Linked DNA regions of Oreochromis niloticus. The protein of the gene in region 2 interacts with the protein of the main gene of each other region in a pairwise test. Links are inferred from orthologs where the notes say so. Each region holds a gene or a part of one and is shown on either strand. Other genes may lie near its edges.

Region 1 (7,683 bases), on a different chromosome or scaffold from region 2:
AGTGATTTTATTCTCTAAGGTAGTCTGAGGTAGAGACAGGCTGGAATTAAGTGCATGCTGCCATTTTTCATCGTTCATTAATGCATAAAATCAATTTGAAAATGTGCACAGGTTCTGAACAACTACAGCGTGTGTGCGCTACGTTTAATTAAATTACTTGTCAGAGTAACAGATCTGAAACATTTTGTGCCTTGTCATTAATCTAATCTGGAGCTGTTTTTTTCTTTCTTTCTTTTCTTTTCTTTTTTCCCCCCCATCTGACTGTTTTCAGGAGAACAGAGTGACTGATGCAACAACTTGTAAGAGAGAAACACGGGTCTCTACAATGTATATGTGACAATATGTAACAAATGTTCCTTTTTAAAGAGGCAAAAAAGTAAGTGGAAGAATTCTTTAGTTACTTTTTTTGCATCCATGGACTGTGTGGTAACTTTGAGTCCGTGCCTGATGGATGTGTAATGGGTCATAACTGGGCTCATCCAAACTTCAGACCAGTAATGGTAAAACTTTTTTCTTTTCCAGTTATGCATGAGAACACTGTGGGATATTACTATGAAAGCATTACATCACTCACAGCTTCTTGTTTGAGGAAACTGATGGATTTCTTTTAAAAATCCTGGCATGGCTTATCCTCTGTTATTTATTGACGTTTTTGCTTGATGGGTAAGGCTTCACCTGATCATTACTCTTAAGTTTAGAGATGAGGTAATAGATATGTTTGGGATTCTTTGGGCTTAGGATGTACTGAATAGACTGTTCAACCTCACTGTGGAAACACATGCAGGCAAAGTCACGTTTAACAGCTGCTCGTAAGTGACCAAACCCTTCTGTTCTCAGGGAACTGCCCAGCAAGTTTGAGCCAACCAATAAGATAATTTCCTCACTCCTACACACTACAGTAAAGAAAGGGCACCTCAGTCCTTCTGGCTTCATTTTTGCATGGAGTGGAAACTTATTTCAAACAGCTGAAAGTGAAAGCACCTCCCTAGGGACTTTATTTCTAACTCAAATCATCAGTGTGTTTATTTAAGTGATTTGTAATAGGACAGCGGGTCCTGCAGGCCAATATAAATCATATAGGAATGACTAACACAATGGAAATACCACTCACAAAATATTATCCATGCAGTGTTGTAATGTAATCTAAAGGTGTTATGATAGTGTTATTGTTAGCCTCGCCATATAACATTTAAAAAATGTTATTGTTAAAAATGTTATTAATAATCCCCTTTAAGTAACACAGAAGCCAAGTTCATTAATCATTAGACCGATAAACCTTCTCACAAGTGCTGTGCAAAAAGATCATCCTACACCATTACAAATCTCCATAGGTTTCACTCAGGCACCACCATTTATCGTCCACCTAATGTAAATATTATAGGGTCAAGTGTTTGAGCGAGAAAAAGCCACTGAGGTTATCTACTGAGGACCCTCCAGAGTATATGTTTTGCTGGCCGAGACTCCCAGGGCCATTAGAAAGCTCAGCAGAGATAGTTTGCATACCAGGACAGAAATTACTGAGTCTTGACAGTTTCAAACCACCAGCTAGCTGACTATTCATTTCAGTATTTCAATATTTAATCTGAATGCTGAAATTTATAAGATGTATGAGTAACTCAGATGTTGCAGTGGACAAAAGTAAATTTACTGGTTAAACAATTGCCTGTAGAGTAAAGGGTTTTCTATCCTTATTTTGGAGTTTAATTTCAAAACATCCCCACAACCCAGTATTGAATTTTTATTACTGCATTGTTGTTTTGCAATGCAGTGAACTATAATTACTGAACATTCTCATTTTTCAAATCACACAAATATATGCACTTTTTTTCCTTTACAACCCACAGACCTTGACATTGACAGAGTGTCAACACTGTGATATTCAGTATGTCCTGAGGTTTCCCTCACCACACAGTAGTTCCTGATCTTTAACCACTGAACAGCAAACACTTGGAACGACATTCCCACCAGTTCAGAAGAAAAATCTTTCAATATTTATAGTCAGCTAGGCTGGTATATTCTCCTGGCTTTGTAAAGATATGATTATGTTTTCAAATCAGACAGATAAGTAACTCTACATTATTTATTTATTTTTGACATTCAGACTATATAACAATTTATTCTGTTAAATAATTAAAAAAAAATTGAACATTTTCTGAAGAAAGTTTGAATCTGTCAATATAACTACTGCTGTTGGAGTTATCAGGCAGCCCTGCATTAGCCAAAAGCCCAGACTATCTTCTTTCGGATGTGAGTAAGGTTTACTTGGCTGCTTAGGTCTTATCTTACATCTTTCCCTCTGCTACAACAGTCATGGCTTGCTTGGTCTCAAATATGTGATAAGAGCTAGATGGTGAAGCCTCTGATTGAAACGTAGGGATTTTAAAACAAACACGCAACTACGGATGATCTCATCTACAAACTAAAGTGCAGAATTCCCCAAAGTGTCTGCTTTGATATATTGTTGGTTAAAATCAGAGTTTTAGAAGTTGTTTTTAAACCAAAATGTAAGATGAAGATGCACCAGTAGTGCGTGAAAACAAGAAAAACACCAGTTGACAAAGACCCACAATCATTTATTAGTTTTACATTTCTTTTTTCTATTTTTGCTTTTTCTACCCCAAATTTTGGAGAAGTATTTGCTTATATGAGCGATAACAGATAACTAAATATCTTATATTTCTGTTGTTGCACAGTTACTAAGAGCTTTATACTAATATCTCTTTGGGTGTAGTCATCTCTGTTTAAGGTATGAAGAGCAGCATTAATGTGGACATCTATTTCCTATAGCTGACTGCTTTGCAAAGTGGAATATTCATTAAAGTGCTTTATATTTTGTTAAAATTGAAAACCTATGAGACGCTTTCGTTATTAGCCTCCTTCACCTTTTGCACCTGCTACAACAAAGCATCATCACTGGTCCTTATCTTCCCAAGGTGATCTTAGCTAGAAGCATTGCACAAAGGCATAATAATAAAAGGTTTAGTATAATATAGATCAAGTCCACTTTAGTGTGGGTCACTGACCCAAACTGTATCGGCTCTTTCCAGCCTTAATAGTCTGCTCCTCTGGGAGCATAATGTTTGGATTGGTTGGGAAATATATTGGCAATAAAGAGACAAAAGGATGTCATAAATGTTGATTAAAGCTCTGGTTAAAAGACAGAGGCAGAGAGGCTCTGAGTTATGAGGGCTTTTCAGACTGCGTTATTGTTTCAGTGACAGAGCTCTTAGTGTGTCTAGTGGAGTGGCGAGTGGTAAACATTTCTCAATGTGTGAGGAGTCATTAATCCCTGGAACCGAGGATGGCTTCACTACCAGTGTCTGTGGCCCAAGAAATCACAGCCAGTTGGCACCAGCAGGTCGTGCAGAGCTCCAACATAAATGCTTTGTACTTCAGAGCTGTTTAAATCTCTTCTATGTGCTGTAGCTAAGGCACACTCTAGAAAAGGCAACAGGCAACGCTCTGTGTTTTGCACATTCAGTTCATTTGCCAGTCAAGCTGTTGATGATACATTGAGTCCTGCCAGGTTATAGCCTCACTGTGAAACATAAGCAAAATATGAAACCAGTTTAACGAAAACAAGTTTCTAAGGCCCTGACAGTAACATCACGGAGTAATACAGTATGCAGATTGTCACCGAGGCTGAATCGTAATTCTGGCAAAAAGGAACTTTCCTGTTTCTGGAATCATTAGACTTGGTCATGTATGTTTATTATAATTTATTTTGAAGAGATTCCAAGTTTCATAATTACTTTAGTTTTCTACATAGAGTTTTCCCAAATTCTACTTGAATTTTTGAATTAGCAAATTCGAGCACTGCTAGTCTGAGAACATTTGTATTCTTGCATGAAAAACACTTCACTCATCATGTTACACAAGCATACACAAGGTACATTGTAAAGGTCAGTTTCTGCTTGGTTCCTTTTTAAGGGGGACATTTACTGTGTTTCCTTATTTTCTCTCATGTACATAAATATATAATATTACAATTATCAAAGCTCCTGTGAGAGGAAACAGCCCTAATAAAGTCATCCCAGTCATCTAGCCTGATGTTCAAACCTTCTGTTTGCAAGGGGGAGTCAATCAATATAAAGCTGGTGTAAAAGAAGTGTGGCTTTTGGTAGAGGAGCTAAAACAGCTTGGTTCAGCAGTGGATTTGCTGAGAGGCTGTGGCTAATGTTCAAAGCTACTGAGTCCAAGAATAAAGATATGGAGCCTAGAATCAGCAAATATTAGAATTATTTTTATTTACTTGTAAGGCAGAAGCTTCTTATTATAAAGTTTCGATTTTGTTGGATAAAGTTTGCAGGGTCTTGATTATATTTCACGCGTGGTACTGTTTAGTGGGTTTTCCCGTTTATCGCTCTCGCTGTTGTCAGATAGAAGCTGCAGCACCGCACGTTTATTTGCGCTCATTGCTCTGTACTGGCGCTCCAGCTTTGGACCACACCCACCAAGGGCCAGCGGCGTTCATACATGCCCCGGGGCGTGCATTTGCAAACTCCGCCCCGCTGGCTCCACCTACCAGCGGACCACAATGATTTAGAAGTTCAGGAATCCCACGTGACGTCACCCAGGGTGACGTTATGCTTCTCTAAATAGATCGTATTGTAATCTTTTCTCAGTCCAACGTGGTTTCTTCTGAGAGACTGCTTCACATTTTCTGCACTTGTTTGGTAAGTTGAAAGCCTTGCCACCATGCAGAGGACCGTGCACGCGCCTCTGCAGGTTTGTTATCTTTTTATTTTTATTTTTTTAAAAAGCGATTCTTCTCACTTGTTCTTCTCCCTTTTTCATGCAACAGCTTGTTTTCTCGTTCGCTTCAGCAGTCTTTCTAAAGATGTGATTTTGGTTCATTTTTTTTCACCTCCTCGTCCAAAACTCCTTCGTCTCCGCAGGTTTGTGTCGTCCAAGTTTTGTTTGAGTGAGTGCATTGTCATGTCACTTCGCGCTCCGTGTGTTTGGCCTGTCTCGCGGAGTCAAGTGCCGCTGCAGCTCGGTCTGTCAGGTAGCAGCGGAGGCAAGTCTGCAGAAAATTATCTGAAATGACGGAAAAACGCGAACATTTTTAATGCAACAGACGCTTTTCGTTGCACTTCACACCAATTTGGCACGTCTTCTAAGTTTTCATTTAGCTCTAAATCTCCGAAGCTGGACCTCTGCATCATTGTCATGCCTGTCCCATCCAGGGATACGCAGAGCAGGCTAATCTCCGGGACTCGTGCGTGCTGCGGTTCACCAATGACTGTCTGGAAGATAATGGGCCGGTGGTTATGCTGTTACCCCAGTTTACAAAAAAAAAAAAGGGGGGGCACTAATACCCCTGTTTACGTTAAATTTATGTCCCCCTTTTTCTCTTGAACAGCAATGTTCATCAAGATTACGTCATTCTGCAGGCCAGTCGATATTTGATTAAGCGCTAAGATGTTGAGGGTTACTTTGAGTAAGGTTGTGCTGACGGTGCGCGCTTTGTGACGGAACGGCTTTTTAAAAAAAGAGAAAGATGCTTTAATTATTTGATTGCTCTCCGGCCGCTGTCATTATGTTTATGTGACAGCACTATCAATAACACATGTTTCTCGTACACGATTCCACTTATTGTGCCCGAGTTTTTATTCGGTGTGGTAATAACGCCGGTTAAAGTGTTATTTATGTCTGTTGCGACGTTTTTTCAGCATTTAATATAGACTGGGATGGAGTTTCTTTGTATGAAAGCTTTTACAATAATTTTTCTCTTTAAAAAATATGTATCAGATTGAGAAAAGTTAACTTGCTGGACAAAAAAAGCATTTTTAAAGCAAAAATACATAATCCAAAAATAGTTCATAATAATTATTAGGATTTACATAAACTTAGACCAAGTAGCATAAGCTATAGTTAATGCATTTAAACTCACTTGTTTATTCTATAATAGTGTTATTTACTAACCTTCATGGATATATGTTTTTTACATGTTAAGTTGGATTGCAGCAGTAAACTGTGAGCTGCATTTCGTGATGATTGTTTTATGTGCTTGAGGTACCCCTGGTAATGTCTGTACTAATATAGAAGGTGTGAAAAGGTAGGAAGCATAAAGGCAGTCTCAGGTCTGATCAACAAGTACACCACAGACGTTAGAGCATTTTATTTTAATACTAGAGCTTTCTTTTCGCCTTTACCTGCAAAGTTCTGCAAAGTGAACGCTAAGAATAATACAGTTAGAATAATGTGAGCAGTGCTAATCCCATGCTAGACCTCAGAGCATTCATTTTTTGATTTATGAGTTTATGTTGAGTCAGAGACCAGTAATTGAAAGCTTTTGAAGTTTATATTTCAGTCAGACCAGTCTTCTAGTCATGCATTGAGTTTAAGAGCAGAAGTTCAGTGCAGACATTGTCAGAGAGGTCCCCCGTACGTTGCCTCAGGGATCGCCGTAATCCTTCCTTCAACTTGTACTCTCAAAAGCCCAGGCTATGGCACTGGAGCTGCAGATTTGAATTGCTGTGCATGTTTGTGCTTGCTTTAACCCCATATGCCTTTGCACCCCAACCCTTCTTTTCCTCACCATATTGTTTAAATTCTAATATGCGGTCTACCTGCAGAGTTCTTCCCAAGTTCCTCTTGAAATCGAATGCCGGACCCTAATCCTTCCCCTCACTTACATCAGGATACAGTTAATGTAAAGTGTAACCAAATTTCCTCTGCTAAACGAAAACATCTATATTAAATGAGAGCCAAGTGCCCTGTCCAAGGAAAGGGCGTTGAATGCTGATAATTTGAAGTGTGAAAGCTATTGGATAATTCACAGAGGCATTCGCAGAATTAATGGCTGGAAGTTTTATGCATCATATGGTTTGAATTTCCTAGTAAATGTGAGGGAATGATCGAGTCCCGTTTTAGAAACAGGAACAGGAAGGTAAACGTTTCTGTTTTTTACAGTTATGGAAACAATTTTTCTCTTATTTTTTTTTTAATGGCTTGCTTTAAAGTTTTTATGTTTCAAGAACTGTTTCAAATTCATACTGGCAATCAAGAGGAGAGCTAGTAAACAACAGTTCCAACAAGAGTTGTGCAAACAGCTGATTCATGCTGTTTCATGAACATTTCCGATAAAAAAGAAATGGGCCTTTATTTAATACACGAATGAGTAGCGCCATTTCTACAGGCACTGTTTTTGTCATCTCGAGCTTAGTTTTATTTAATGATCAGCAGTGTTGGTTGTGTTTGTTGTGTCAAAAGAGACCAGGTGAGTTTTTAGGGGCCCTGTTTTAAAGAACTGAACTGGTGATAGAAAGACAGACCAGGTCTCATTGCTCCCTGACAGAGAGACCCTTTCCAGACCCTGTTCAAGCGGGCTTGCTCATGAAGTACAACTTGTTAGGAAAACAGGACTGCTTAGCATAACACAATATTTGACTGTTTTGACTGCGCTTAAGGAAATAGCCTGTACCTATGAAAGAGACACACATGCACATAGCGTATGAAAGTATTCATGGCTGACACTTGACATGCCGTACTGACTTATTACAGGCTTATTACAGAATTACAGATGCGCTGCGGTTCTTGTGAACTGGTAGCAGGCAGAGGTGATAATAATGCAAGCGATAAAAGGAAATGTTTTATGTGCCATTAAATGAAAATGATGTGGTCCAGTATCAGTGTTGTAAATACTGCAGATGTTTTACTTGTACTGAGAGGACACAT
Region 2 (7,108 bases):
AACGTGACAGTGAACAGGGGTGGTCAGCACATGAATCCCCCTCATCGTCATTGGAGCAGTGGTAGAAGATGCCCTTAACAAGGCACATACACGTGCCGTGCTCCAGTGCACTCTCAGCAGAGCAGAGGCACTGGCCGTTACACGCCAGACATGAAGGCAGGCTCCTGGGTGCTGTGCAGTCGGTGCACTTGCACTTCCCACAGCGCTCGCAGATGAACTGGTGCCCAGCAGCAGCCACCACCTCGTTGCCAGAGCCAGAGAAGTCTGATTTCCCTTTGCCCTGGGGCTTGAGTGGAGCCTCTAGTGGAGGCTGGTAAAATTGAGGTCCCTGCTGGGGCTGTAAAAGGGCCTTGGGCTTCGGCTGAGTCCGAACAGGCCGATCCACTCGGTGGTGATGCTGTAAGCTAATGCCAGGTCTAGTGGGGGGTGAGCGTGCCAAGAGTCCCTGCTCAGAGGAGGCACTGCTATTGCTCCCTGAGCTGGCGGCGCTTCCTGTGCTAGTAGAGCGACTGAGCCCTGGTGCCCGAGGCCCACCATACTGCTGTCCCCCAACCAACACACTGCCCCCAGCATGATGGTGGTGACCTGATGGTCGGTGCTCATAATTGTTGTTCACATTGACGAGGATGACCTCGTGAGTCCTCTCCTGCTTTTCATGGGGTCTGGAGACCATCCGGGGTGCAGGGGGCCTCCGAACCACTGAGGGCCCCTCGGTGTACTCGTTGCTAGAGCGGATGGCCTTGATTTGTTCCAGAGAGAAAATGCCGGCATGCTGGAACTCCCGCTCGTAATCCGACCTCTGCCGACTCTCTAGGGAAGGCTGCTGGATCACCACTAATGAACCGCCAGGGCCATGTTGACTTTGGAGCTCCATCTGGGGGAATCACCACTTCCGACATTCACCGTGGACATGCATCGGAAAACCTGCCAGAGGGAGGGGGGGAAGAGACAAGGAAGAGGCAGGAGATATGATCAGAAAGAGTCAAGCAAAAAAAAATAAAAAATTCTTGTTCTAGGAAACACAGTCCTGATGGAAGAGGGGTTAACACAATCCCAAGTGTTTTTGGATTCAGAAATAATACTAATAAAAATCTAATACTAATATATCGTTACAATCATTCTTGACCCATACCATAGCAGTTATTACACAGCTATAACATAAGATGCTGAACAGTGATTCTAAATTAATGACAAATAAGTAATCTGTGCAGGCTAGTTTAATATTTGCAGGTGTCTTTATAGTTAATCCAGACCAACTGTTTTCACCCTGTCAACATGACAATATGTCACTTTTGATCCCGTTAAGTGAGGCAACCCGGGAAAAAGTTGACTATTAAGACTTTTTGTACCTTCCTCCCCAACAGGCTAAATCTAAACTTCAGCAGGCCCTACAAATACTTCCCCTACTCATTTACATTTGTATGACTAGTTAACATTTAAATGCACCGCGGCGACGAAACGAGGACACGATCCAAGGGAACTAAATGAGCTGCCTCACTTAGTATTCTATTACTACATCAAAAAGGATTTCAGGGAAACGGGGACAAAAGTAGAGCTAGAAAACTAAGGTCACATCAAGTTCCGACAAAATATAGACTGCAGTTAAAAAACTCTGGAAAGTCGTCGGATTAAAACGGTATTTCAGGGCCGAGAAGCCCCCAATTTTTGAAGTTAATATGAACCAATATACATATATATATCGTATTTGTATTTATAGGAATACGATTAGGAATTTGAACTTGAGTCTTAGGGGATGTTATGAAGCACAGCCGACCTGCAGGAGGCCGAAACTTACAGTTTACAAAAACATAAACCCTAGCTGTCCCGTGAAGGGCTCCTTAAAACTATTGACGATTAAAAAAAAATAAAAACTACTACAATCAAAGCGGAAAGATCCATTTTGCTGCTTTGCACATAAACAAACGCACGTTTCAACTATATTAAAAAATATTTTCTATACATTTAATAGTCTTTGCGTCAAATGGCGCACTTTGAATAGGATCATATGTACAGAACGCGCTCACATGAGAAGGCGCTGTTTGCAGTAATAAAAACAGGATCTTATAAAGCCGGAGATCAAGAGACATTACAGGACGCGTCCGAATAGACGGGCAAAACTTATGAATGAAAACAACCGCCATGGGGGAGGGGTGTTTGTTACAGCACAGCCTCGGAACAACACTGGCGTGGAAATCCATCAACTTCACCAAACAGTCGCGATCAGTTCAACCCACAGCGGATTCTTTATTTCATGGGGAACACATGGAAAATAAGACGAAAAGTCTTTGCGCACAGCAAAACATTTGGACTTTATCGCTGCAGCGGCGCTTTCTAGGTAGCTACGTGCTCTACTATCGGGCAACAAATGCCCTAAAACCAAAGCAAAATGCGTAAAATAAGCGTGAAATCACTAAGAAGATGCATACCTATATGCAAGCATCCATAGCGTCGAATCCATCAACCAAATAATTTACCAAAACTCCATCCAAACGGAAGGGGCAATGTCCAGCTGGAGATTATGAGGTCTAATGCATAACATTCAGTCTGTTAATCCAAGTGCGAATGTATCCCTTTGCGTTATTCCCTTTTTATTTTTTTTCGGTTAAGTCGTACTGAAAAGTTCAGCGTGTGTTACGCGTGCATCTGTCCCAAGATAAAGTAAATCCACGGCGGAACTCTGATGAAGAAGGCTGAGAGGGAAAAAAATAAATAAATAAACACGCGCGAGCTTATATCCAAAAGTCTCTCCTCCTCGCGTATCTGCTGAGAATTGTATTTGAGTTCTGGCTGTTAGTTATTGTTGCGGGAAATCTGCGCTCTTGTGCAAAAGCGTCGTTAGGTTGCAGACAGCGGTGCGCTCTCTTCTGCTCTGCGGGCCTGTTCAGCACTGATGAATGGGGGCTCAGGGCTTAGTGTTTGCTCGACAATCCAACTCCCATTGGCCAGCCACTCCGCTGAAAAAGGATACATCGCATCCGCTCCTGATTCATTGGACAGATGTGGAAGGCCGGGCGATAGAGATGTGTGCACTGGTTAAGGTGGAACGGCTTTTTTAAAACGCAAACGTTGACTCAACGAGGGGGCTAGGGGAAGAAAAAAAATACTAGTTTCCGTTCTTGTGGGTTATGATTAATGGTGTGAATGAGGGTGATGTGACTAATAGTGACGTATTAAACGCCGTATTTATTTATAACATTGCTGAGTTGTCACTTTTGGTACAAAGACCATACACAAGCATCAAAAACAGGAAAGAAATCCACTTTACGTAGATTCAGAATTTACCTTGGGAATCTGAGAAAGTGCTAAATAAATAAATATTTATTTCTTTTTTTCAAAAATGTGTACCTAAATACCACGTTTGTCCTTATAAGATGAAAAATAAACCGAATATTGTTTTAAAAGGGGCGTTTGATATATTTGTACTGGGAACAAAAAATATTTTTATAGGATTTTAGAGGAAAATATGAGTAGGATGAACAACAATAACAACATCAAAGTTAATTATTAAAGGGTTTGGATGAGAAATATAAGTTTAATAAATATGGTTAAATTAGGTTAAATCTTGCACATGTCAAGGAACCTCATGCGACTAGAGAAAAGTTTGTTATAGAAATAAGAACGAATCATATATTGAAGAAAAATGGCTCCTAAACCGGAGTTTCATCGTTTCTGTGCTCTGTAGCTGTTTACCGGTACTGCTGTGAAACAGGCATCCATACACATCCAACTCATTAGTCTCTGTGAATTAAATACAAACTCGAGCCCAACCAGTTTCTGCCCACACAGCTGTGTCATTGTACAGACAACTCACAGAGGAAGCATCAACAGGATGTCCTCTGTCCTCTGTGGAATGTTCCCATTACGCACTAACTCGTGTCATCAGAGGAAATACAACGTGTGGCAATGAATGTTCAGTTTGTACGATTCTCTGATATGAAATCACTATCGGAGGAGTTCTGTGTTGATTTCTGTTTGGGCAGCGGTGGGGTGGGGATTTGCGGGGTAGTGTGCGCTGTAGCTTCAGACCACCTTAAGAAAAAAGCTGCCCTGCAGCCAGGGGGGAAAGGCTCCCCTCCTCACTCCTGCCACCCCCCTCTTCTCTGTTCCTGACTGTCTGGTTTGATTGGTGTCGCGGATGCGCTACATCCGGATCCATGAGAAAAGGAAGTTCAATACAAAGTCAATTTATCCTATTCAAATGGAAAAATCAATAGATGAATGACCCCCAGTGCCATTTCGGGTCAGCAAATGTTTAAAAAAAGAATAGAACAAAAAGACCTGCGGAGTGTAAAAGTGACTCCGCGGTGCAGTAATGACTTAGAGGTTATTTTTTTTTCAGGCCCGATGTAAAAATGTAGCTTCTGATGATAAAGAAAACCCTGGTAGACCGACAGATGGCCGCCTGGATCCCTGCTCTCAGTGGTCGGAAGTGCGGACGGAAATCTCACGATTACAGCAATTAGTTGATTTTCCATGGATAGATGTGATGAATATACCAGCCCAGGCTGTTTTTTCTCCCCGTGGATGCGGAGCAGCGGTTCACCAAACTCGGGGTTTAGGAACCATCAGGGGTCCTTGTCTAATGCTGCTATTTAATTCCATAGATGTCCGTGTGCATATGGAATATTCTGATTAGAGGGCTCACACTGCCCACCAACTGTATAATCAGTTAGACAACGTTTTTACCAACTTCGATTTTATTGCAGCTTTACCCAACATGTCCTGAAAAGGCAGAAAAACCTGCGATTTGACTGGAGGAGTTATTCAAAATCCAGAAGAGCCACAACTCATAAATTACACAAAGTGGCACTGGAAACATGTAGGACAGACAGATTTATAGGTGAATGCTAAGCTACAACAAAGCAGAGCGTAGGAGGTATTTAAATCCAGTCAGATCTATAAGACTGCACTGTTTTAACGCCATTTGGGACGTGTTAGTTTACGGCTTTTCTCAGCACGTTGATACTGCTGTAAATTCGCGGCTGGACGTCTTTAACAGTGCAAACTACCACACTGGCTCACCACTGTTGATATGGGATTAAAATAAGGCAACCAAAGACAATGAATGGATCGATGACAGTATGAATACATTATCATTTTTATTTGATCAAACATGGCAGCACAACATATCCTTCAAAGTCAAAAAATAAAGCAATAGTGTCAACACTGCAATCTACACAGAGTGTTATTTTAAAGTCACCGCTTTAAAACTGATGAGATTCTTTGGCCTAAGGTTGTGGTTTGAAAACATTTAACACTGTGTAATGAAGCAGACTGGTACAGTTAAAACATATAACTCTAAACTAATAGAAATAACGAAGAAAATCCCAATTTTGACTTTTTCCACAGCGGTGTGGTCAGAAGAAACACAGGCCACTGTGTTGCTGCTGATAGCTGATATACGACTGGATGACAGAGTCAGGGATTCGGGGCTTCACAGTGTTCAGGGCACTTTCAAAGTGTCTGGCTTCGATGTGCCGAGCTTTGATGTCCTCTTGCAGGGCCAGGAGGGCAGCCTCTCTACATACTGCAGTTATCTGGGACAGGAAACAGACACAGTCAGGAAACAGACACAGTTACAGTCAGCAGTCAGGCAAAGCACTCCATCCACTGACCACTACTGAATCATATGAGGGGGCACATTTAGATGCTGATCGATGTCATGATTAGAGATGGCACGATACCACTTTTTTATGTCCGATACCGATACCGATATCATAAATTTGGATATCTGCCGATACCGATATGAATCCGATATAGTGTGTTTTTTAATCAATAAAACTGTTTTTTTAATATCTTGCTGCATTTTGTATAAGTTCATACTCAAGTTTAAATAAACAAGAACACTAAAGCTATTCTGTTATACCTGTGTGTAAAAAATACACTGCACCCAAAATATTTCATAGTTCAGTAATACTGATCAATCTAATAAACTTAAACCTACTCCATCCTCCCTATTCTGGTATTTTAAAGAGTACTTAGCAGAAATATTAAGCAACCTAACTAATAGGGTTGCAAAGTCCCAGCAAAAAAAAATAAATACGGAACCACCCCCCACCCTCCACCTCATGATGCTTAATCGACGTAATCAACTTTAATTTGATGCAGGGTGAAAAAAAATGCACAGAAATAAATTATTTTTCAAGAATAATTAAATAGATTCAACATCTTTCTTCAACAGAATTGCAGAATTCACAGATGGTATCTTCCCAAAGGAAAAAGTACTATAGCTTACTAGGGTATATTAGACTTAACAGTTACTATATACAGTAATGGACTTCTATACATTTTACATCAGATTAAAACTTTGGGTGTAAGATTCAGGTAATTATTTATTAAAAGCTAGACATTTTAAATGAGAATAAGAAAGAAAAGTATGTCTTTGTGCCCCCTTTTCCCTGTTCATGCCCTATCGGCCCCCCTGGCTAAACTTTGCTAGATCCGCCCCTGCACAGTTACCAGCCGTCAGCTACGTAGAAAAGGATCCTGGTCTAGAAAGTAATATTAAATAAATTCTAACAACAGCTTATCAAGTTTAAACGTGCTGCTGTTGTTCAGCCGCTGGTTTCCTCTTTTTGGTGCAAAGTGGGCCAAAAACAAAGAAGAGAGACAGACTCGCAACAGAAAAGCCGATCAGCTGATCATTAAGCAGTTTTATGATTGAAGTAGCAGCAGGAAGGTGAGGGAGAGAGAGAGGCAGTCGCTCCATATATCGGTTGTTAAGCTTAACGCGGGAATGCTTTACAAACATTCAGAGATGAACTTACACACTTGCTTTACTTCTCTCTGGGATAACTTTCTTGGAGATGAAATGCTGGTTTGGTAGCGAGGCTACAAATACACACAGCCGCTCTATCACGTGAGCACACTGCTGCGACGTGCTACGGTTATGAGCCGAGTTACGCCGTGTCGCAAGTTTTGTGAGGTGCTTTTTTGATATTTAATGGATCGGATTACATTTTTTATTTCTCGCCGATATCCGATCCAGTAATTTAGGTCAGTATCGGACCGATACCGATACGTAATATCGGATCGGTCCATCTCTAGTCATGATAGACTAGCCATGTAGGCTGATGTGCTTCAGTACCAGAGCAGTAATTTAGTAAGA
Region 3 (7,618 bases), on a different chromosome or scaffold from region 2:
CAACTAAAAGTTTCTGATGAAGATGCAACTTGCTACGGTACACTTAACCTTTTCATTTAACATTTAGAATTTTGACCCTGTCAGGATCAGTGAAAATAAATTAAAACTTGTGGATCCAATTCTTGTTTTGTTTTTTTCAAAGTCATTACACATGTATGCTGTACAATCATTCCACCCTGAAAATGTTAAAAGCCCAGACTTGCCATGATATTCATATCCATGATGAGTGGCTCTAAACTTTTGATCACAACTGTAAAATGTTAAGAAATTAGCTAATGTAGGTTGTGGTAAACATAAACATGTGAGACTCACCTGTAGCTGAGAGGTTAGGCAGGACAAAGGTGTTCACGACTTCCTGAGGTGACAGAATGCTTTCCCTCTTTCCTTCTCCCTCAGCTGAAGTGACGGGCTCCATGAGCAGACTCAGGAACTTGAGGAACTGTTCTTTTTCAGTTGCTGACAGTGACTTGGTCTGGATCACGTCCTGTAAACACTTGCCAAGTAAATTGCACACCACCTTTTTTCTCCCTCCATTTCTTCTTCCCCTCTGGTCTCTGAGTCCTGGCAGCTGTTCCAGGATCTTAGCCATTAGAGAGAAAGCTCCTTTGTTAAAAACAGCCGAATGACAGCAGGACCTCAAAGTGGCTTCGGGGTTCTGAAAGGCTACTCTTGCAACTAGAGAGGCTGCCGTAGTCAGGTTGCCCTGTGAAGCTCCCGCTGAAGCTCCGCCCGCCCCCTGAATGATGCAATTGAAGGCCATGTTGAGCTCCTGTTCAAACCCGTCAGCTAGAGCAGCAGGTACAGAGCACTCGAAGAACCCCCTGCTGGATAATCTCAGCATGGCAGCCAACGCTTTGTTCTGGTCTTCTAATGTGAGTGTGGAGAAAATACCTGAAGCGATTTTCAGCAGTTTGTGGCACTGCTTCACGTTAGCGCTCTTGCTATGGAGTCTGCTCATTAGGGTGGAGGCGAGGCTCATGAGGGTACCGTGCTGCCGGAAGGCCCCCTGGTTTTTTTCCAGGCAGTCGAGCCAGCGATCCGCACGTTCTGCCCATGATGGCTCACTGGCAAACAACACTGCAAAGTCCTCAGAGTCTTCCAGGTGATGGGTGATAATGACAGCAGCGACCTCTGCGCTCACTTCAGGGCTGCTCTCTGCTACAGGGAGGGACAGTGACTTCAGCACACCTCTGAGTGTATCATTCTCTCCTTCAAAGTCGTCAGTCCCAGCTCCGGGTGCTTCCTCTAGAGAAGCCAGGACCCTCTGGATGCTTTGTTCTAGCAGGAAAGCAGAGTAACTAGGACTGGAGTGGTCACATTGATTGAGAACACTGCTTTGCCAAAACTGTGCAAGCTCTGTGATAATCTTCAGGGCTTCACTCAGCTTCATCTGGCACAGCTGAAACTGAGAAGGTGTGTGAGAAGCACGCAAGTCTTTCAGAGCTTCCTGAATCATTTCAGGACTCAGCTTCTCCATGTTCTCCTCTCTGGCTTGGAGGATTTTACACAAACAGTCCAACTTCTCTTTAGCTGGAAGCACCACGTTTTGGTCTATCAGGAAGGTTGTGTAAAGAGCATCGAGGGAAATGGATAAGGACTGAAAGCAGAGGTCAGCTGAGGATATGTGACATTTCATGCCTTTAAGCGCGTGAAGGAGAATGTGCAGAATATCTGCTGAATCTGGCGTGTCTAACTTTAACCTCTTTGCAGCCTGAGGGGACAGACTGGAGGACTCAGAGGAGAGGTGAGCAAGCTGGCTGGCAAACATCTTCTCTATGCTCTCTTCTTCTCCAACCTTCTCTTCCGCTCTGCCTTTCCACAGCTCCCACCAAACCTCCAGAAGGAGTCGGATATCGTCTTCCCCTACGGGATCGCTCCTCACATGTTCCACCAGCCTTTCCAGCTCAGCACAGATTTGAGCGTGAGGAAGACGCAGGAGGAAACTGGCAAAAACACCCGCAGCTGCTGCTGACTTCACCAGCTCCAGCAGGACGACACGGCTGACCTTAGGGAGGCTGTTCTGGAGAGAGAAGAAAGGGTTCTCCCTCCAAGCCAACTCAACGTTCTCCTCAGCCTCTCTGCACAGCAGCTTCAGCCACACAACACAAACCATCCTCTTCTTCCAGCTCTCGGCTGCTCGGTTGGGACAGTCACTGACTTCATCCTGTCTGCAGATTTCTTTGAGTGCTTCCAGGATCACATGTCCCACCCGGCTCCAGTCTGCTTTCTGAATGGTGGACAGGCATGAGGGGGAACACAGCTTATCAGCCAGGAGGAAAGCTCCCTGAAGTACTGTCGAATCTGAAAGAACAAGAGAAAAGGCATCAAAACTCATATTTGCCAGAGGAAATTGATTTTTTTTTTAATTTTTAACTGTCCTCTCAGCTCCTTAAATTAGCCTAAAATGGCAAAGATGCGCAAAAAACAACACATTTGATCTTAAGACCAAAAAATGCCACTTTGAAAATGGCTTTTGACTGGGGATAAGCTGAAGTTCAACTCTGGCTCATCTAAAGTTGACAGTGGAAGGAACATGGTGTGAAGCCTGAGCTCAGAGAGGTTACTTGTATCTCATTATTTTAAATCGTGATCTTTTATATGAACAGCCACACTCTGTAGAATAAGGTATTAGTGTGTATTTTTCAGTTCCACACAGAATTAATACAAGCTATATAAATATATATAGAATAAAATGTCGCTGTTCTGTCATTCTCACACACATGCAGCAGAGCGGTTAGAGAACAGCATTACCTCTTAAACTGCTAAAGCTGATACTATTTAATTTTTTTTTTGGGGGGGGGGGTTTGATTATGGCGAAAAATCACGGTTTGCTGTTATTTTCTTTTAGCACACGCAACATTTACTACAGCATAAGAGAAATTGTGACTCGTGTTTTCTGTATGAGAACGTGAGAAGTGTAGCGGTTACCTTTGTTCATTATTAGTGTCAAAGCTGCAGAGTGGACCTGGATGCTAAGAAGCTAGTTTGCTAATTTTAGTTCCAATGAAGTAGAGAGCAAACACGAAACTACCTCCCAGCAAAGGTTTCTATCAGAGTGACACCAACTTTGTATAAAGCGCTTCCGCTGTTAGCATCAGCGTGTACAACCAGAGAGAATTCATGATCAAGAACTCCCACTCTGTGGATTTCCGGTTTCATAGAGGGCGCTCTAAGCATATGGCAGAATGAATAGAGTTCTATGGCTCTGTAGCCCCAGAATGTCAATTTTGGTTATTGTTGTTGTTGTTGTTTTTTTTTAAATATTTTCCTTAATAGTTAATAGATATAGCTCCATTTTCACATTTTTTATGGGATTCCAACATTTCGGTGTAATACAAACAGCACCAAGAGCCGCATAATGCATCGACTACTTTGCTTTCAGGCATGAAACAAACAGCCGCGGAAAACTTCTGGCAGTAACTTCCAGACAGTAATCACCTTCGACCACCACAAGCAGTTCTCATATGCATGATAGGTTTTGTTGTGGTTTAACTACGCTCCCAATATCTAAATAACGTATGATGTAGATTGTTAGACCTAAAATCGGGCATGGAGAAATAATTATTTGAGTGCTTTGGCTACATTCACTGCTATTATTTCAGGACTTTCAGGTGAACTAAATAGTGAATTTCTGTAAAACGAGATTAACAGGAAGTGACATGGTTCTCGTCCATCAGCTCTGGTGTCGGAAAGACTAGTAAGGCTGCTGTCGTCATGCGCTCACAGCGACACCTCAGGGCAAAGTCAGTACTACGAGTTTTATATAAAGTCAAAAGCAAAAGGACCTGTTGCAAGCTGTTGACTCCTCATGAACTGCTGTGAACTATTTATTAAACTGTGTGGTGCGGTGGTTCACATAGTCACATTTCAGTAATCCTGAGTATGGAGTACATTTGCCCCATGACTCCAAGTACACCGGGTACCGCTCACAGTTTAGAGTCCGTTTGTGTGGTAATGGATAAAGTAAAATATGCACCTACCACAGTCTTCCTACCAGACAGACCTCTGGCCACGTGGCAGCTGGGATAGGCTCCAGCTACAATAATGTTACGTCTAACATGAAAACAGGAACGCTGTAAAAAGAACTAGGACGTTGTATCCTGATTTTTTATTTATTTATTTTTTTTTCTAGCATATATTCTGGATTTTATTAACTTTTTTGATTATGATTAAGGGTTTTTATTTTAAAGGTTTGGTTTTCGAGCTGCTCATCACGCCAGAAATCGCACTCCTTTTTTCTTTTTCCTTTGAAATGAAAGTGAAAGTATCAAGAGAAACTTTGTGTGGACATCAGACAACAAGGAGTCCGACAGTGGAGGGCACCGGGAAAGAATGACGGTTTTAATCTTGAGGATACTTTTTTACTTGTATCTAAGTGCAGGTGAGTTATAGTGCAACACGTTGTCACAGATTAGCTTAGGTCAGCTTGTGCGTGTTAGGTCAAAAGTGACTATAGATATTCTAGTCTACCGCATGAATTCCAACGGCTATGCTGTCTGACTGAAGTATTCGTGTCATTCAGGTGTGTGGAGTGTCCATCAGATCCAGTGGCTGCCTTGTTACTTCATTGATGAGCGTTTGTATTTGAACAAGGACAACCACACTGAAACCCGGGTCATCCCCAGAGAGGCTATACTTCAGTTTGGTCAGAAAGGAGATGCTCCTGTTAACCCAAACGCCATCACTTTCCTGGTCACCAGTGAGTTACTGCAGCCTGCATGAGAAGAAGGCTGAAAAAACAACAACAATGTGTTAGTGTTTATTTTATCATCTTCTAGGATCAAAGTTGGATCTGCTGCAGTATGTGGAGGGGGTGGAGGCAGAGCAGCTGAAGTGTGAGCTGCACAGATACAGCACAGAGGGCACTTACATTCGCTGGCCTGTCCTCGGTGCCCGGGAGTACAACCACTGGTTTACCTGCATCCTCAGACACAGCAGGGGCCGCTTCGCAGTCGCTGGCTCCCTCAGACACCCCTCTGACCAGCCTCCCCCAGGGCAGCCAGACTACCACAACTGGTCTGTCATTGCTGACAAAGAGGTACTCACCACCGCAGGTAAACTCACATGTGAGGATGGTGTGTTTTTGTTGAGCCCCACAGACTATCTCCTAGGGGTTTTATTTAATTGCCTGCCTGTTGCAGTAGCAGACATTTAAGGACAGAGTGCTGAAAGAAACTGTGTTTGTGTCTCGGAGATTAGAGTAGAAATAGAGAGAGACAGTTATAGTTATATTGACTTGGAATGGTGGATGGCCAAATAATTGTCATGTCATAGATACAGGAAGTGGTTGTCACCTATTTGAGTAAAGGACACTTGTGTTGTTTGTCACATCTGTTTCTGCAGTCGCCATGGTCATCAAAACACAGACTCCCTCAGTTAAAGCACGCCTGAAGTTCCAGCAAAAGCTCCACTGCCAGTTTGATGTCGACCACAAGGGTGCAAAGGTCACCGTAGAGTGGCATAGGCACCGCCCTGGTGAGAGGACTGAGCTCTTCAGTTACAACAGGCGCACAGGACAGACCAAGGGGAGCGGTGTCGGACTACATGCCCTTGCGGCTGGAGATGCCTCCTACATCCTCGCCTCCACCACGATGATCAGTGAAGGGACCTACATTTGTTCAGTGTCCGTGAATCCACTGTTCGCCAAGGTGGATATATATCTGCAGATTCAAGGTACATAGGTTTGGACCATTCCCTATATGTCTATACTACCAGTCAAAAGTTTGGACACACCTTCTCATTTAATTTGAAAAATAAATGACGGTCCAACTAATAGCAAACCGGATGGGATGGCATGTTGCTACAGGATGCTGTGATAGCCATGCTGGTTCAGTGTGCCTTCCATTTTGAATAAGTCCCCAACAGTGACACCAGCAAAGCACCCCCTAACCATCACACCACCTCCTCCATGCTTCACAGTGGGAACCATGCATGTAGAGACCTGTTCACCTTTTCTGTGTCACACAAATAGACGGTGGGTGGAACCAAACATCTCAGATTTGGACTCATCAGACCAAAACACAGATTTCCACTGGTCTAATGTTCATTTCTTGTGTTTCTTGACCCAAACAAATCTCTTTTGCTTGTTGCTTTTCCTTAGTAGTGCTTTCTTAGCAGCTATTTGACCACAAAGGCCTGATTCGGACACTCTCCACTGAACAGCTGATGTAGAGATGTGTCTGCTACTGTGTGGCATTTATCTGGGCTCTAATCTGAGGTGCTGTTAGCTCGTGATTTCTGAGGCTGGTGACTCAGATGAATTTATCCTTAGCAGAAGAGGTGACTCTTGGTCTTTCTTTCGTGGGGCGGTCCTCATGTGAGCCAGTTTCATCGTAGTGCTTGATGGTTTTTGGGACTGCACTTGGGGACAAATTCAAAATTTTAGCAGTTTTCCAGACTGACTGATCTCCAGTTGTTAAAGTAATGATTGATTATTGTGCTTGCCATAAGAAACTGTGAACCTTTGACTGGTACTGTATATGTTGTCAGTACAAACAATGAGAGTAAGAAACCTATTTTTAAATAGCTCTTTATAGCATTTTATTACTTTGACCTTCAGATCAATCTATTGACCTTGAAGGAAAGGTAAGAGGTCAAATGTGACATGATATTTGAAATCTTTATATGGTACTTTTTATATGCTGTCAATATATAGCACACTTTTAAGAATCTCAGTTTCTTAGTTATTAGGTTGTTTTTTTGCTTTCTGAATCTATTTTCAACTAACATTGATGGATGGAAGGCAAATTTTAATGAACTGTTAAATCTATTTGTTGGATTGTTACTCCACTACACTCCACTACACCAGTTCCAAGGTTCATCATAATTCATTTAAAACTTTTCAAGCGTTCATGTTTATAGACAGATTGACACATAAACGAGACCGAAAACAGAACCTCCTTGGCGGATCGATAGAAAGTTGCAAAAAACTTATATGTTCTATAATCTTTACAATGTTTGATGTTAATGAAATTCACTTGCAGTTTCAGTTTTTCCATCACTTACACCAAAATACATTGGTGTAAGTGATGATCAGGTTTATGTTTCTCTTTATCCAGATCTAACGCTTGATGTGCCTGTTTGTGTCCGTGCTGAACTTACTGTATGTGATAAAAATGCATGCTCAGTGGAGCCTGGGTGGGAGATTTTATATATATATATTTTTTTTATTATTCTGTTAAGTGTGTAACCTGAAATGCATCTTACTAAATTTGACTTCCTATAATTCTGGAACTCAGACCAAATCTAAACTTTAACTTTTAAATGTCACCAGTTTTGACCTGAAAGAATATTAAATTAAAATAAATGAATTAAATAAAACAGGCCAGTTACTATAATAATTGTCTGCTGTTAGGTATTGAAATTACTATTTATTTTTCTCTCTCCTTTCCTCAGAGTCTCCCCATGTCTCCCTCAATGTTGGAACCACCCTGTTATTGCAGGAGGGCAAGGACTTGATGGTTAAGTGTGAGGCAAATGGCTACTACCCTCGGATGTGGAGATAATTTGGTACGAGGAGGATCCAGGCACTCCACATCCCAAGCCACTGAACCATAGTGTTCTGTTCAGCCACAAAGAAAATAGGGACATGACCTTCTCGCTGTCAGGTGTTTTCTAC

Evidence for each region.
Region 1: the proteins of spry1 (region 2) and creb5b interact in binary tests that used the Homo sapiens proteins (3 or more experiments, as listed by UniProt). The two-hybrid records come from large-scale screens. The link is inferred for Oreochromis niloticus from reciprocal best matches to the Homo sapiens genes SPRY1 and CREB5.
Region 3: the proteins of spry1 (region 2) and gemin4 interact in binary tests that used the Homo sapiens proteins (3 or more experiments, as listed by UniProt). The link is inferred for Oreochromis niloticus from reciprocal best matches to the Homo sapiens genes SPRY1 and GEMIN4.

What each region holds. Positions count from the first base shown.
Region 1 is NC_031976.2:18,511,203-18,518,885, reverse strand, and holds the start of creb5b (cyclic AMP-responsive element-binding protein 5), read left to right. Parts: upstream 1-4,612; 5' UTR 4,613-4,698; coding exon 4,699-4,728; intron 4,729-4,802; exon of another isoform or gene 4,803-4,898; intron 4,899-7,683. UniProt on the Homo sapiens protein: Binds to the cAMP response element and activates transcription.
Region 2 is NC_031966.2:11,001,280-11,008,387, forward strand, and holds the start of spry1 (protein sprouty homolog 1), read right to left. Parts: upstream 3,019-7,108; 5' UTR 2,427-3,018; intron 925-2,426; 5' UTR 875-924; coding exon 1-874. Other genes in the region: afg2a (spermatogenesis-associated protein 5), read right to left, coding at 5,358-5,537. UniProt on the Homo sapiens protein: Inhibits fibroblast growth factor (FGF)-induced retinal lens fiber differentiation, probably by inhibiting FGF-mediated phosphorylation of ERK1/2. Inhibits TGFB-induced epithelial-to-mesenchymal transition in lens epithelial cells.
Region 3 is NC_031979.2:1,528,620-1,536,237, forward strand, and holds the start of gemin4 (gem-associated protein 4), read right to left. Parts: upstream 3,091-7,618; 5' UTR 2,939-3,090; coding exon 2,929-2,938; intron 2,302-2,928; coding exon 313-2,301; intron 1-312. UniProt on the Homo sapiens protein: The SMN complex catalyzes the assembly of small nuclear ribonucleoproteins (snRNPs), the building blocks of the spliceosome, and thereby plays an important role in the splicing of cellular pre-mRNAs.